Linked DNA regions of Oryzias latipes. The protein of the gene in region 3 purifies or fractionates together with the protein of the main gene of each other region. This does not show direct contact. Links are inferred from orthologs where the notes say so. Each region holds a gene or a part of one and is shown on either strand. Other genes may lie near its edges.

Region 1 (2,870 bases), on a different chromosome or scaffold from region 3:
TGCATTATTAGAGTTTAAATCACAATAATACATATTCATAAATCCTATTTTAGGCCAAAAAATTGCCTTATTAATGTATAAAACGGGTTTCAATGGCTTGCCCACAGACCGGCCAGAAATTAAACCACCAACCTTAATATAAATGCTGTATGATTGATACTTTATGATATGCAGCTATTTATCATTTAGAAATTATTAGTAATACAACTTAAAACCTCTGTAAATGTCAATTACAGAAACTCTGGAAGGTTTTTTTCTTTTTTTGTTTTGAAAACGGTTTTGTTTAAAAGAAAGCAGAGTGGGGAAATACAGACAAAAGGGGAGAAATGTTAATACTGTAGTTAGGGAGGCTTACACGTGGATGTCACACAGTCAAAAAGTCCTAAATGTTCCTGGATTCAAAGAAGTCATCAAATATGTGGATGCGTGTCATGTTTTGCTATTATTAATAAATAAAAGATTTTTAAGTCAGTAGCATAAACATAAAAATTTGAGGAAAGTTACAGTGTGACAACCATCCTTTAAATCTCCCTTAAAAAGGAAGAAGGCCAGAGTAAAACGGTAAATAAATAATAATAAAGACGCAAAACGAAAGAATAAAGTCTGCTAATAATGAAAAGACTTCAAATACTAACAAATCCAAGATTCAGAAAGCAAAAAGGAAGACAAAATAGGTGAAATGTGTTCATTAAATCTTCTGTCAACATTTTACTACACTATCGTTGATGATTCTTGGCTGAAGTGTAGTCTATTATTTTGATCTATTTTGGACCACATTGATTATTTAAAAAAAAAAAGAAAAAATTTCTCGCTAAGATTTTATATAAGCCATGAAAGTCTACAAAATCTGGTTAAATACTGACCTACAAAACAAAGAATAGCTCTACACCTTTACCGGTAAACTGAAGGACAGTTTTCACCCATTTTTAAATCGTTCCTCAAAAACCCCTTTCTAAAGAGCAGTGTCAGGGTATTTCTAGGGTTTTTTAATCCCTAATCAAGTTTGTTCAGATTTGTTGCAGAAAGTAAACATCTAATGTGCACTGTTCCCCCGTCATATCAGTGAAAGCCTGAGATGTGACATGAGTTCCCTTTTTACTGTAGAACTTGTGCACAACAGACCAGTGCAAAATAACATAAACTAAGTAGATGCAATCAATACAAGTCATTTATTCTTTTGATCAGCTGAAGAAAGAGCTTTGACTTGAAAAAATTTACCAAATTTACAAAATTGCACATTACATTTGATATTCAAACACTACATTGACCCTTTTCTTTAACAAAAATGTCAATATCTGAGGAATGATATTCTAAGGAGTTTCAGCTAACAGCATGCCATGGCATATTTGAAAACCTTTAAGTACTTAGAAGTAGTTTTTTTTTTCCTTTTTCATTTCATAAAAAAAAATTCAAAACAGACACTAAAATTCAAAGAGCCATGTCCACACCACACAGCTGAGCTGAAGTCAAACGTTCGGGTCCATTATTGCCCCTTGAATATTGATCCATCAGTACAGTTTACTTTGAGAATTTGCTGCGGGCTAAAATAGAAAATAAAGTTTACGATGGGGACAAAAATGTCTCATTAAAAGTGCTTCAAGCGTATCTGTGAGGTCCAATAGCTTCATAAAGTAATGGCAAAGATACTGAATGACTGGGAGTTCATGGCTGAAGCAGTCAGCACACAAACTTGTATCTCAGCTCAGCATCAGTGTGAACAGGGGCAGCAGAGCTAGGCGTCTCCATGGTGACAGGTGAAAACCATGCCAAACAACTGCAAGGTACTCCTGAACATATTAACAGTACACCACATTGTGTATAAACAAATGATGTTCTTATACCAGTACATACTTTAAACATTAGGATTACATATCTGAAGTAAACATAAGTAAAGGTTAAATACTCTATATTTAACATGAATTTTCTTAGATATTAACCACAAGTTATACGTGGTTGATGCTTTCTATGTTAGAGTAAATAAATGAGGAAACTAGCAGCCAAACATCCACTTACTTGTCTGGAAACTTACTCTTATTTTTTGACAAGTGAGGACAGGCAAGAGGTATACTTGATGAAAGGGAAAGATTCACTTGAAGTCATTAAACTAAAAATAATCCACAAAAAAAATAAGTGATTTCCTCTTTTAAAATATTCTTATTGCTTTGAGTTTACTGCAATGTGAGGAAGAAATAGCCACATTGCTGGATTAAAACCAAAATCTGAAGGCGGTAACCCCTCAGGAATGGGTATGTGTGTGTGTGTGTGTGGGGGGGGGGGGGGGGGGGGGGTGCATGTGTGAACCAATATGTCCCAACTTGAAAAGGCTGACCAACTGCAGAAGCTGGAGAACAAAGTGAAGAGAACTGAGAGGGAAGGGCAGGATGTATGGAGTAAAGGAGTGGTAGTAAAAAGAGGAGGAGGAGGGGTAGAAAAGTGCTGCTGCTGTTTTTTGGAGAAAAGTTCAGGTGGTTTTGTCCTCTACCTTGTACCCTTGGGAGGCTTTGAGGAGGGCAGACTGGCGCTGATCTTTGCCTGGTGTTGATGTCCTGTCTTTCATTTTAGACTTGCTGCCCTGCCCACCTCCACCTTCCTGACTCTCCACGTCAGAGGCGTTGCCTGAAGAGCTGTCCTGTTAAATAACAGAGAGGGGGGTACAAAAAAAAAAACACGCTTATAAAAGAAAATTAAAGAGGTCTGTAATCTTTCTTTACACAAAAACTGAAGTAAATTATAAGTTTTCAAATTTTTTTAAGAACTTTTAACACTTAAATCAACTTGCCTGATTTCAAAATTCCACCAAACATATTATTTAGAAAGCAGAAAAGAGTTATTGGCACTTAGATATATATATACATGTGCACAGAATACAC
Region 2 (3,500 bases), on a different chromosome or scaffold from region 3:
AAAATTATCCTGGAGCCCATGGACCTGAGGACCATCGAGCACAACATTCGCTCAGACAAGTATCTGACCGAGGACTCTATGGTGGCAGATATGAAGCTGATGTTCCGCAATGCTCGGCACTACAATGAGGAAGGCTCACAGGTGAGACTGCTCACAGTTTCTGAAGGTTCTCTGTTGTCCTCGAGGGATCAGTCATTCACAAAAACAACTAGAACAAAGAGAAATTAACCTTTAATAAAGTAAACAAGAGGAGAAAAACCTTTTTGACCTTTTGAATCTGCGCTTTTGCAGGTCTACAATGATGCAGACATCCTAGAGAAGATCATGGAGGACAGGCGCAGAGATCTCGGACCAGCAACTGATGAAGACGACACCATGTCCCCCAAGTTAAAAATAAGTAGGTTTCACAGCCAGTGTCAAAAAAGTACACCGACCTGTTACTGAGAAGCCTTTGTGTTTTGTTTATTTCAGGAAAGAACAGCATCAATCTGAAGAAATCAAAGTACTTGAGTCCCTTACAGCAGAAACTCAATGAGCTTTACGAAGCTGTCAAGAACTACACAGACAAACGAGGTCGCCGACTCAGCACCATCTTCCTGAGACTTCCATCTCGCGCTGAGCTCCCCGATTACTATATCGCCATTAAGAAACCGGTGGACATGGAGAAGATCAAGAGCCACATGCTGGCTAACAAGTACCAGGATGTTGATGCTCTGGTTGAGGACTTTGTGCTGATGTTTAACAACGCCTGCACCTACAACGAGCCAGAGTCTCTGATTTACCGAGACGCTCTCTTGCTGCACAAAGTGTTGTTGGAGACCAGGCGGGATCTGGAAGGAGGAGAGGACACCCACGTGCCGGACGTGCCCCGCCTCATCCAGGAGCTTGTTCGCAGCCTCTTTGTATCTGTTCTTGGTCACCAAGACGATGAGGGGCGATGCTACAGCGATTCTCTGGCAGAGATTCCTGCTGCTGATCCAGCAAACTCTGAGAAACCTCTGCTTAATTTTGAGATCATCAGAAAAAATGTGGACCGGAGTCGCTACAGGAGGCTGGATGTTTTTCAGGACCACATGTTTGAGGTTCTAGAGAAAGCCAGACGGTTAAGCAGGTGAGGTATTGATCATGCTCACAAACAAAGGATTGCTTTTTTTTAGGTATGTACAAAGTCTTTGATTTATTACAGGACAGATTCAGAGATCTTTGAAGATGCAGTGGAGCTGCAGCAGTTCTTCATCAAAATCCGAGATGAGCTGTGCAAGAATGGAGAGATCTTGATGTCCCCTGCCCTCAGCTATACTAGTAAACATTTGCATAGTGATGTAGACAAGGAAAAGAAAGAGAAACTTCCCAAAGAGTACGAGGAAGACAGAATCAAGAGAGAAGAAGAAAAAAAAGGTATACTAGAAATACTTGTGAAAACCAACAACTGCAGTTGTGTATCTCCTTCTCCTCCTACATTTCTTCACACAAAACCTTTTACTCCTCAGAGGCAGAAAAGAGGGAGGACCCAGTAGTAGCATCGTGGCCCGTTCAGCGTACATACAGCCAGGACTGCTCCTTCAAGGATAGTATGTACCATGTGGGGGACTGCGTCTATGTCGAGCCTGCAGAGTCGAACCTACAGCCACACATAATCTGTATTGAGCGTCTCTGGCAGGATGACACCGGTCAGTGCATTTCTCAGATTTGAATGTGGGGGCTTCAATTTGCTTGAGTGACTTAGAGGTTACAAAAATAAATATCTTTGGTTGTCCAGGTTTAGAAGAAGCCAATGTCTGAAGAAAACACTACAACGTTATAGAAACACATGTATGTTCCATAATATGAACTATTCTGGTCAACGCACTGACGAAAATGTAGCGATAATGCAAATTCAAAATGTTCTGGCTGTGTGGAAATTAAGAGACAAACACTGATGCTTGAAATGCTTTATGAAATTGACTTGAAAATGATTGCTATTAGTGTAAAAATCTGATTTGGTTTGCTGATATTCCACACATAGATGAGTTAAAGCAGTGACATCATTCAAAAACCAGCTCCTGCTCCTCAACTCGGGAAAGCTGATAAGATACTTTTCAGAGACAGTGGACACTGGTACACAGATGTTTAACTAAAAGCATTACAGAAAGCCGTGAACCTTGATTTAATGCAAGGGTTGTACAGTGGTGTAGTGGTTAGCACTTTCGCATCACAGTGAGAAGGTCCTGGTTTAAATCCAAGCTGGGTCCCTGTGCATGGGTGCATTTTCTTTAGGTGCTTAAGGCCTGAAGAAGCCATAAATGTGCTTGATAGGACGGTAGGTTATTTCAAATTGTCCCTAAGTATGAATGTGTGTTTGAATGTGTCCCCCTGCGATGAACTGGCAACCCATCCAAAGAGTAACTGCCTGCTCCCAACAGTAGCTGGGATAGGCTGCAGTAACCCCCCCTGACCCCAAAAGGGATTCAGCAGGTTTAGAAAAGAGATGAACTTCCTGCAGATCCAACCGTGAAGGAAACAAATGGCAGAAAAGACAAAAGGAGTGTTTTAGACTGTACCCTCCTAATATTTTTAGTTTATTTACATTGAAAATGTGCAATTTTCTTTACTGTTAAAGGTGGTTCACAATCTAAGTTATTGTCTGTTATTCAGTTTTTGTTCTTTTTCCTTTCCTGACTTTCCCCTCTCTCCATGTAAATCCGGTCGGTTTTCTTCCCTCTCCGATACAAACAGGGGAGAAGTGGTTGTATGGATGCTGGTTCTATCGACCAAATGAAACGTTTCATTTGGCCACAAGAAAATTCTTGGAGAAGGAAGTTTTCAAGAGCGATTACTACAACAAAACTCCCATCAGCAAAATTCTGGGAAAGTGTGTTGTTATGTTCGTAAAGGTACTTTGCTCCTGCTAAAATCTCTTTTTAGATTTTTTTCCCCCACTCTAGTATGTGTTAACCAGATACTTTTGGAACTCTAGGAGTACTTCAAGCTCTACCCAGAAGGTTTCCAGGAAGAGGATGTGTACGTCTGTGAATCGCGTTACTCTGCTAAGTCTAAGTCCTTCAAGAAGATCAAGATGTGGACCATGCCTCTGAACTCAGTTCGGTTCACTCCTCGAGAAGTACCCCTTCCTGTGGTTCGTGTAGCTTCCATATTTGCCACTAAACCAGATGAGAAGCCACCGGAGACGGAAGACGAGAGCAAAATGACAGATGGGGTCATAGAGAAGGTAAAAGCTTTGTTTGTTTGTTTGTTTGTTTGTTTGTGTGTAACCTTCAAATGCTAAAGTTTTTCATGTCAACAGGAGAGGGAGGACGTTCCTTTGGATTTCACCAACGGAGAGCCAGGCTGTCAGTACTACGAGCAGCTGTGCTACAACAACCTGTGGCTGAAAGTGGGAGACTGTGTTTACATTGGTTCTCATGGACTGGTGCGTCACCGAGTGGGCAGGTAAAGGAAATACTGCCATTCTGAACATACTGATCTATAAATGTTTTTTCTGTTGAATATTTCGTATCTTA
Region 3 (4,292 bases):
CCTTCGAGGAAGGTAGAAAAGCGCTACACAAGTGTACGCCATTTACCCCCGGAATCCTTTTATGTGCCTTATTTTTTCCTCATGGTCTTCTGCCTCCAGACCTGCAGCCACTTCCACTGAAAAGTTTATGCAAAGTTTGGGGCTTCATTTAGAACTCGCATCTATGGAAGGTTCTACCGTTTTGGGTTCTACGTACAGAACGCATGGGCACTGAACGCACGTTGCAAGGTAAACCAGGTCAAAGTTTGACCAAGCAGGGACTTGGTAGTGACGAATGGATGGTGTCCTCTCGAATTCACAGAAGTGCCAACCATTGAAAAAAAGCTCATGGAGCTGCAGAAATGTATAATTGTGGTTTACGTCCAGCAGGAATTCTGTGATTTATCAGAATGGAGCTGTGAAAGAAAAAGTCTTGGGCAAGATTTGCACCACTGACATTTCACACCCAGCCTCTTCCAACTGTGGCAGATATAGTAAACAGTGGGGAAAGAAGAAGAAGAAGCCCCTCCCTGCTTGCCCAGTGTGAACTTAGTATTTTACCCTTTCATGGGTCAATTATGAAACGCATCCTCAGTGATAAACGAGGCAACTCTGGTTGGTCCAAATATGATGGACATGTTTTGTCAGTACTGACAGCCTCGGGTCACAAGCGTAACTTCACTATATGTCACAGTGTGACAGTCATGATAGTTTCAACCAGAACCCAACATGGCTAAGCTAAACGTGGATAGCAACCGCACATTTTAAATTATGTTAAATGAAAAAAAGTCTACCAAAAAAAAAATCATTGAAAATAATAAACATTTAGCAGAAATGGTGTTTTGGTGGTGATGGCCTCAAAGTGTTTTCATACCCTCCCTTCACGACAGGGGTTTTCAGGAGTGGCACAAGAAGGGCAACACAAGATTTAAAGATCTGTTTGTGGACAACACCCTGGATTCATTTGAGCGGCTAAGCCGAACATTTGGTAGATACCTGTTAGGCAGTATCTTCTCTCTCTCGCTGGAGACCGGTTTGGATTTGAAAGTGTGTAAACAGACCAGACGACACCGTGTGGCTGCATGAAGAGCTCAGATGTTTATGGATCATATATCTAAGAGCAACAGAATTTCGTTGTCACAAGTTTCTTGTGTAACAATGATAATAAAGGCTTTCTGATTCTGAACTTCCATTAGTTTGAATCAGAAAGCCTCCCTCTAATTCCATGTTGGTGTTTCCGGCCCTTTGATGTCTCTGCGGTAAAGCTGCTTTGTTCTTTTTGTGTAAAATACCAACAAAAATGACAAAGAGTCAAACTTTTTCTCTTTTTATGGCGATTTTTTTTACAAGTGAGTGGGTAAAAACAGAACAGCTGTGTTCCTGCCGCGGCGGACACCCTGTACCGGCTCTGGGGGCAGACCTGGGGGGCAGAGCGGAGGCGGCTGCGGCTTCTTTGTTCCGCCGCTCAGCAGGATCTGATCTGAGCTCAGCGCGCAGCCGCAGCCGCCCCCCCCCTCTTCCCCCGGAGCCGCGCAGGCGCACTGGCCTCTCTGTGCGCTCTACTGTTTGCATTGTGTCTGAACTGCCGGCGAGCTTTAAAAATATTTTAGCAGCGCGGAAATGTCGGGCAGGTCGGTCCGAGCGGAGACCCGGAGCAGGGCCAAAGATGACATCAAGAGGGTCATGGCCGCCATCGAGAAAGTACGAAAATGGTGAGTAAACGCCGGGAAAGGAGCGCTTCGTTACCCGGGAGCAGAAAGGCTCTCTTGTTGGGGGAGGAGAGGGAAGAAGCGAGACGGAGACGGATGAAATTGAAAGAAAACGACGTTTTCTGGACGGCAGATCCCGCCGCGGCTCAGGTGCAGCGGTCCGCACCGGCGTACCGGTCTTCGCCGGTCGGAGGCGGGCTTCGGCGGGAACCGGTTCGTCGCATAGCCGCTGTTTTTCCGCCGATTTTTAACGGCTAGGGCTGAACCCAGAAGAAGCCATTTCGATGCAGTCACATGAAGCCATTGCTGCTCGCTGCGGAGCCGGGAGCGCGAGCGGAGCGGCGCCGGCCAAACGAACACCCGGCGCGGACGGAGGGACCGTTCGATGACGCTCCGGAGTCCGGGCTCTTCGGCCCGCGAGGAGTTTTAAGGCAGCGCTCGGAGTCGCCCTTCGGGTCCGACGGAGCAGCGCTCGGTCGGTGGGGGTTGGGAGAGGGAAGTCCGCCGAGATGCATGGCTGAACGCGCAGCCAGCGGCGCCGAGCGACCGGTTCGCCGCGGAAAATCACCCTTTAACCGCCTTCAGCTTCTCCGCCGCACATATACGGTTATCACCCGGACACGAGGAGCGTGGATCCAGCCGCGTGACCCCGCCGGGGGGCGGTATTTTTTTCAATTTCTGCCTGTCTGGGTGGATTAATCAAACGTCTCCAGGTCAAAGTCAGAAGTTTATTTTTTTCGATTAAAGTTAAGAAAATAAAACGGAATAAACAAACCGGAACCAGAAACTTTAGGCGGGTAAACAAAACAGTTTCAGTCAGTTATTCCCCCAAATTTAAAAAAAGTTAAACATTTTGTTTGTAAATTGCAACAATTCATTCCTAATAAAAAATATTTTTAAAACACATTTTAACTTCTGTTTAGTTTTATTAACATCAGTTTAAGGATTAAACATTTGTTTCAGTTTACATTTTTTTCTTATATATGAGAAATTTTAATACCAAAATTGTTTATTTAGATAGAGGGATTTTACCTTAACACCTAAATGTAGCTTTTTTAAAGGTTTAAGTAGTGATTTAGAAAAACAAGGGAAATAATCGAATCATACTGATCAATAATCAATATATTGATCATTTAGTGACATTATTTTTATAACTTTTTTGTTGGTTTTTATAAATTATAGAAAAATATTTTTTTCCAACACACACTTCATATTCATTTATGAATAATAAAGCTGTTTAAGATTTTTGTATATATACATCTGATCGGTAACTAATCAATAATATAATTAATGTATTTTGTAAAATATAAAAGTAATAAAATCAGTTTGAAATCTTAAAATAAGATTTTTAAAGAGGAGAAAATAGCATTTTTCACATAAATCCCTTTTAACATATATATTTAAAGGATTTATTATTGATATAATTAAGGGGAAAAAATCTTCTTTTGATGTGATTTTTGGTTTTTTAATGAAAGGCGCTTCTGTCAGGATGATGAGGTTTTCCCCTTAAAGTCAGAGATGCTTCCTGTCCTGATGGTTTCCTCTCTTCAGGGAGAAGAAGTGGGTGACGGTGGGAGACACGTCCCTCCGCATCTACAAGTGGGTCCCGGTGACGGAGCCCAAATCTGAGGACGTGAGTCCGCCTCTGACACCTGTCAGCCGGGGTTTCTCTTCAAAATGGATGATTCTTATTTTCCGTTTTCAGAAAAACAAAAACAAGAAAAAGGGCAAAGATGAGAAGTACGGCTCAGAGGTGACGACCCCGGAGAACAGCTCGTCTCCGGGGATGATGGACATGCACGGTGAGGCCCCACCCCCCCACCTGAGGTCACAGCTGGACATGACAACAGGTCGTTCTCTGATGAATGTAAATAAAGGCTGAGCGTGCTTCTCCTTCAGACGACAACAGCAACCAGAGCTCCATCGCAGACTCGTCCCCAGTGAAGCAGGAAAACAGCTGTAGCACAAGCCCCGCCCCCGAGAACAACGCCGCCACGCTCCGTGAGAACAGCGAGACCAAGAGCGAGCAGAGCCCGGACAGCAAGAGAGGTCAGAGGTCAAATGCAAACAGCAGCTGGTTGGAGCCAGCGACCCCTCGGCGCAGCTGTAGCCTCAGCGCCGCCCTCAGGGAATTCAACCGTCAACCGTGTTTTCCAGACGGGCTCTGATTGAGAGCACAGAGAGGAAATGAAGTCAGACAGTCTGAGCCAATCAGAAAGGCTCTGTGTGAAGCCCCGCCCTGATGCGTTGTGAAAACGGCGCCCTCATCATGGCCGATCTTCAGAAAGACCAATTAAGATTTAATTGAAGCAAAACTGAACGAATCCAATACTTTGACGGAATAAAAGACAAACCTTTATCCCAATTTGTCACAGAATTCCTTAAATACGACCAATTCAATTTATAAACCCTAAAATTACAACAATAGTTGTCCTGATGGGCTTCAATGTGACGGAGAACCTTTACATCTCGTTACAAGTTGCAGTTCCTTCATTTCACCACAGGGTGTCAGTAAAGCACCACAAAAGGGACTGCAGTTTGATCCAAGCTGTGACCTCTGACCCACAGGTAAGACCACGCCCTCGTCAGAGACCTCAGAGAGAG
Region 4 (3,500 bases), on a different chromosome or scaffold from region 3:
GGGACCGGTTCTGGTTCATACCTATGCTGTGGTCAACGGAGGCGATCTTACTGCAGGACACCTCTCCGAGCTGAGCCAGCAGGTACAGCACCTCCAAGGAGGCCATGAGGAGCATGAGGTCGGGCAGGGTGAGGAGCATCATCACCTCCCTGTACGACTCCTGGTCCACATACTCGCAGATCAACACGCTGTTGTCGTCCGCTTTGCTGAGGTTCCCCAGGATCTCCATGGCTGAGGGACACACGGAGCAGGGGGGGGGGGTCAGCTCAATCTGACATAGAGGAGCCCAGGAGCAGGGAGGAGACTCACCCCTCATCTTCAGGAAGCGGTCTCTGGACATCAGGCATTTGGTGATGGTGTGAAAGATCAGGTGCGTCGTCCGAAAGTCAACGGGGTCGAGCTGGAGCTGCAGCGAGAGAACCGCATGTTCAAACCCCCCGCACACAAACAGAGGGGAGCGTCCAGCATCCGAGGCTGAAGCTGGCGTCTGATGTTTTAGCTTCCACTTTGACAGTCGAGAGAAAATCTAAAATCACATTTGAACGGTTCCAACAGGAAATCTAGAAACCAAGGTTAAAGACGCTACAGAGGAGGGAGACCATCTCTACCCTCAAAAGTTAAAGAAAACTGGAAACTTTAAATCAACGGAGACGCCAACTTCATTCTCGGACCGAGCGGTCCATGAAAATCCTGTCCGACATTAAACTGGTGAGAGCGCTGACGTTCGAGCGCCGTACCTCGGCCGCCACGTTGCCCAGCGTGTCGAGTCCGAGCTGTCTTAGTGAGATGAGGTTACAGTGGGCGCAGAGCAAAAGGAAGCGCAGGCACGTTCGGTTGGCCGCCAGCAGCTTGACGTTGGCCTCCTCGAAGGAGAGGTTTCGCAGGATGACGGCGACCTGCAGCACCCGCTGGGCCTCCATGTCGCTGATGCCCTGGTTTCGCGGCGGGTGGAAGAGGCTCTGCCAGCGATCTCCACACGTGCCGTCTGCGCAGACAACACAGGGGGAGGGCCTTCAGAGCCGCCAGGGGTTTGGACTTGCACAGACACTGACGCACAGCCTCCTCCAGATGTGTGTGTGTGTGTGTGTGACAGTACTAAAACATCTGCACATCTGTCCCAGTCATGAATCACTCCTGTTCAATTCTTTGCACATTTTTACTTGAATCTTCATCTCATTTGGTTAAGAAAACTTATCTGGCAGTTTTAAATAAACAAAAGTGAATTTTTTCATTCTTACTTTTTAACATCCAAAACTTGAGACAAGAAAAACAGCTTTAAAAGTTAATGGATTTATGGATTTCACATCAACCAAGTCTAGAGTCATGTGAACCCAGCCGGGTCAAACAAACATTCGATGACAGCTCGTCAAACACCCGTGTGCCTCCGGGCCACGCCCTCACCTTGGGTCAGGCCGCTTTTGTCCCAGATCAGCTCCCGGACTTCAGTGTCTTCCACCACTTCCCTCCAGAACTGTAAGGAAGTAGAACAGCAGCTCACACCTGTTTCCTCGTGAAAAGATGTAGCCTACATTTCCCAGGATGCACTTTGAAGGAAGTCAGGAACTCAGGAGTCCCAACGAGGTAAAGGGAGCGGGAAGCGCGCCGAGTTTAGTTTTTGGACTTTCCTGAAGTCCTTCAGGTACAATAAACAGCGGCGTTTCTGAAGTTTCTGCATCTACAGGGCTTGCCGAAACGTCACTGAAATGGCGAGCAGCGTTGTATGGCCCCGCCTACGCCCTCGCCGCCCCCGTTTAACCCAGGCATACAGGCTGCACACCCCTCATCCTCCCACCCTGATCAGAGCTGCAGGTGACAAAAGAAACGCGGCAGCTTTTCTGTTGAGTTTATCTCCATAGCAACCATATTATGTTTAAGTCCTCTGGAGGTCACAACAGATCGATGTAATCTGAAGAAGAATCTGCAAAAGTAAACTTTTGGATTTCCTTGACAACTGAGGATTTTTGTTAACCACGCCCACATTCCTACCCCAGTCATATCGTATGTTTCTATGGTTTCGTGCAGCTTGAGCCAGAAATTCACAAATTACATTTTCACAACACTCGGATAAAAAATGTGCGAACAGTAGGGGAGCACCTTTTTTTCTTTTTTCAAGCTCGCCACGCAAACGCCGTTCAAAATCGACCACTAACATTCTAACATCCATTTCCCAAGTAGCTTTGCAGTGATGCTCGGAGAGTTCAGAGGCGTTAAATGAGAATCCCCAAGATTTTAACTCGTAGCTGGTACCAAAGGAGAGGTTATTGAAAATTCAACATGGCTGCCTCTTCCTGAGGTCAAAGGTCAACATAGGTTCAGTTGTAGACTTTGTGAAATTTGGTGAAGATAACTTTTTAGCCTCAAACGAGTCTCGTTTTTATGATTGTCTTTCCTGCTGTCATGTCAACATTTGTCCTCAAAAGTCCATTTTCTGCAGCTACTAGCTGTGCAAACATTTAGGGGTTTTGAGTTTGTGGGCGGGGCCACATTTTACTTTCAATGCGCAGTCAGACAGTAAGCAGAATTGCAAAAACATTTTGGGTCCTGGCAGTTTAGGACCGCTGCGGGGGCAGAATCAAAAAAGTCTTTACCCTGATGAAGTCCCGGGACGTTTTCTCCTTCCAGTCGCTCCCAAACACCCCAGAGAAGCTGCCTAAAGCTGCACACAAACAGAGGAGTTGACTTAGAGGAAGCCGCCCCCGTCGGGAAGAGGGAGAACGCTCCGAAACGAGGGCTGTGGACGTACAGTCGTCGAAGACGCCGGCGTGGGCGAGCAGCAGCGTGACCAGTTTGGGGTCCTTGTCCAGCTGCATGACGTGCTTGCTCTCGTTGGATAGAAGTGTGCAAACGTTGACGGCGAAGTCCACCTCGTTGGGGAGGCCCGACAGGAGAGAGAGCACCAGTTTGCTGTAGTCGCAGGGCGGAACGAAGTCTGTGGACAGTCCATAGCTTTGGCGGAGATAGTCTGTGGGGGGGTGGGGACAAATGGAAAATAGTTCAATTTAACTTCACACGATACGGTTCAGCTGTTCGATGAGGTTTCCCATCTGTACGAGGAGCACCAATGTTCAAGTTTAAGCCTGCACTGATGCTGAAAAACAACATTCTGAAGAGGAGAAACATCCTCGGGGGGGTTTACTGTACTGCTGCTTCCGGAGGCCGACCCTGATGTTGTAAAGATGGGATTTCCATGTTTCCAAGGGTTTGTACCATCATTGGCGCCAATATTTGTTATTCTGTCGCATATCTGCAGCAGCTTTTTTTTTTTTTTTGAACAGATGAGAAACAGATGAGAGCTGTATATTTTACTGTTACATAACAGGGATTATGAATCTTATGACTGACAAGGAGTATATTTGAATAAACCCATTTTGTAACTCAGACTAAACATTATTTATATTAATCATATTTGATTCAGTTTTTTTTGTTGGGCGAACGGTAAAGAAGAGGAGATGTACGTTTGGGGGGGAAGGGGGGGGGGTTGATGAAATTGGAAGATGATT

What was found. Proteins that work in one complex are often made in the same cells at the same time.
Region 1: the proteins of bcl7a (region 3) and phf10 purify together in Homo sapiens (affinity purification with mass spectrometry; 3 studies listed by BioGRID and IntAct, counting the BioPlex papers as one, with this or other methods). This does not show direct contact. The link is inferred for Oryzias latipes from reciprocal best matches to the Homo sapiens genes BCL7A and PHF10.
Region 2: the proteins of bcl7a (region 3) and pbrm1 purify together in Homo sapiens (affinity purification with mass spectrometry; 3 studies listed by BioGRID and IntAct, counting the BioPlex papers as one, with this or other methods). This does not show direct contact. The link is inferred for Oryzias latipes from reciprocal best matches to the Homo sapiens genes BCL7A and PBRM1.
Region 4: the proteins of bcl7a (region 3) and arid2 purify together in Homo sapiens (affinity purification with mass spectrometry; 3 studies listed by BioGRID and IntAct, counting the BioPlex papers as one, with this or other methods). This does not show direct contact. The link is inferred for Oryzias latipes from reciprocal best matches to the Homo sapiens genes BCL7A and ARID2.

Annotation. Positions count from the first base shown.
Region 1 is NC_019861.2:24,492,882-24,495,751, forward strand, and holds part of phf10 (PHD finger protein 10), read right to left. Parts: intron 2,630-2,870; coding exon 2,483-2,629; intron 1-2,482. UniProt on the Homo sapiens protein: Involved in transcription activity regulation by chromatin remodeling. Belongs to the neural progenitors-specific chromatin remodeling complex (npBAF complex) and is required for the proliferation of neural progenitors.
Region 2 is NC_019863.2:2,540,831-2,544,330, forward strand, and holds part of pbrm1 (protein polybromo-1), read left to right. Parts: coding exon 1-141; intron 142-291; coding exon 292-397; intron 398-471; coding exon 472-1,111; intron 1,112-1,186; coding exon 1,187-1,398; intron 1,399-1,490; coding exon 1,491-1,670; intron 1,671-2,715; coding exon 2,716-2,873; intron 2,874-2,956; coding exon 2,957-3,208; intron 3,209-3,283; coding exon 3,284-3,429; intron 3,430-3,500. UniProt on the Homo sapiens protein: Involved in transcriptional activation and repression of select genes by chromatin remodeling (alteration of DNA-nucleosome topology). Required for the stability of the SWI/SNF chromatin remodeling complex SWI/SNF-B (PBAF).
Region 3 is NC_019870.2:1,211,988-1,216,279, reverse strand, and holds the start of bcl7a (B-cell CLL/lymphoma 7 protein family member A), read left to right. Parts: upstream 1-1,492; 5' UTR 1,493-1,599; coding exon 1,600-1,691; intron 1,692-3,239; coding exon 3,240-3,490; intron 3,491-3,587; coding exon 3,588-3,737; intron 3,738-4,256; coding exon 4,257-4,292.
Region 4 is NC_019881.2:3,999,490-4,002,989, reverse strand, and holds part of arid2 (AT-rich interactive domain-containing protein 2), read right to left. Parts: intron 2,963-3,500; coding exon 2,744-2,962; intron 2,657-2,743; coding exon 2,589-2,656; intron 1,472-2,588; coding exon 1,402-1,471; intron 986-1,401; coding exon 738-985; intron 407-737; coding exon 310-406; intron 232-309; coding exon 22-231; intron 1-21. UniProt on the Homo sapiens protein: Involved in transcriptional activation and repression of select genes by chromatin remodeling (alteration of DNA-nucleosome topology). Required for the stability of the SWI/SNF chromatin remodeling complex SWI/SNF-B (PBAF).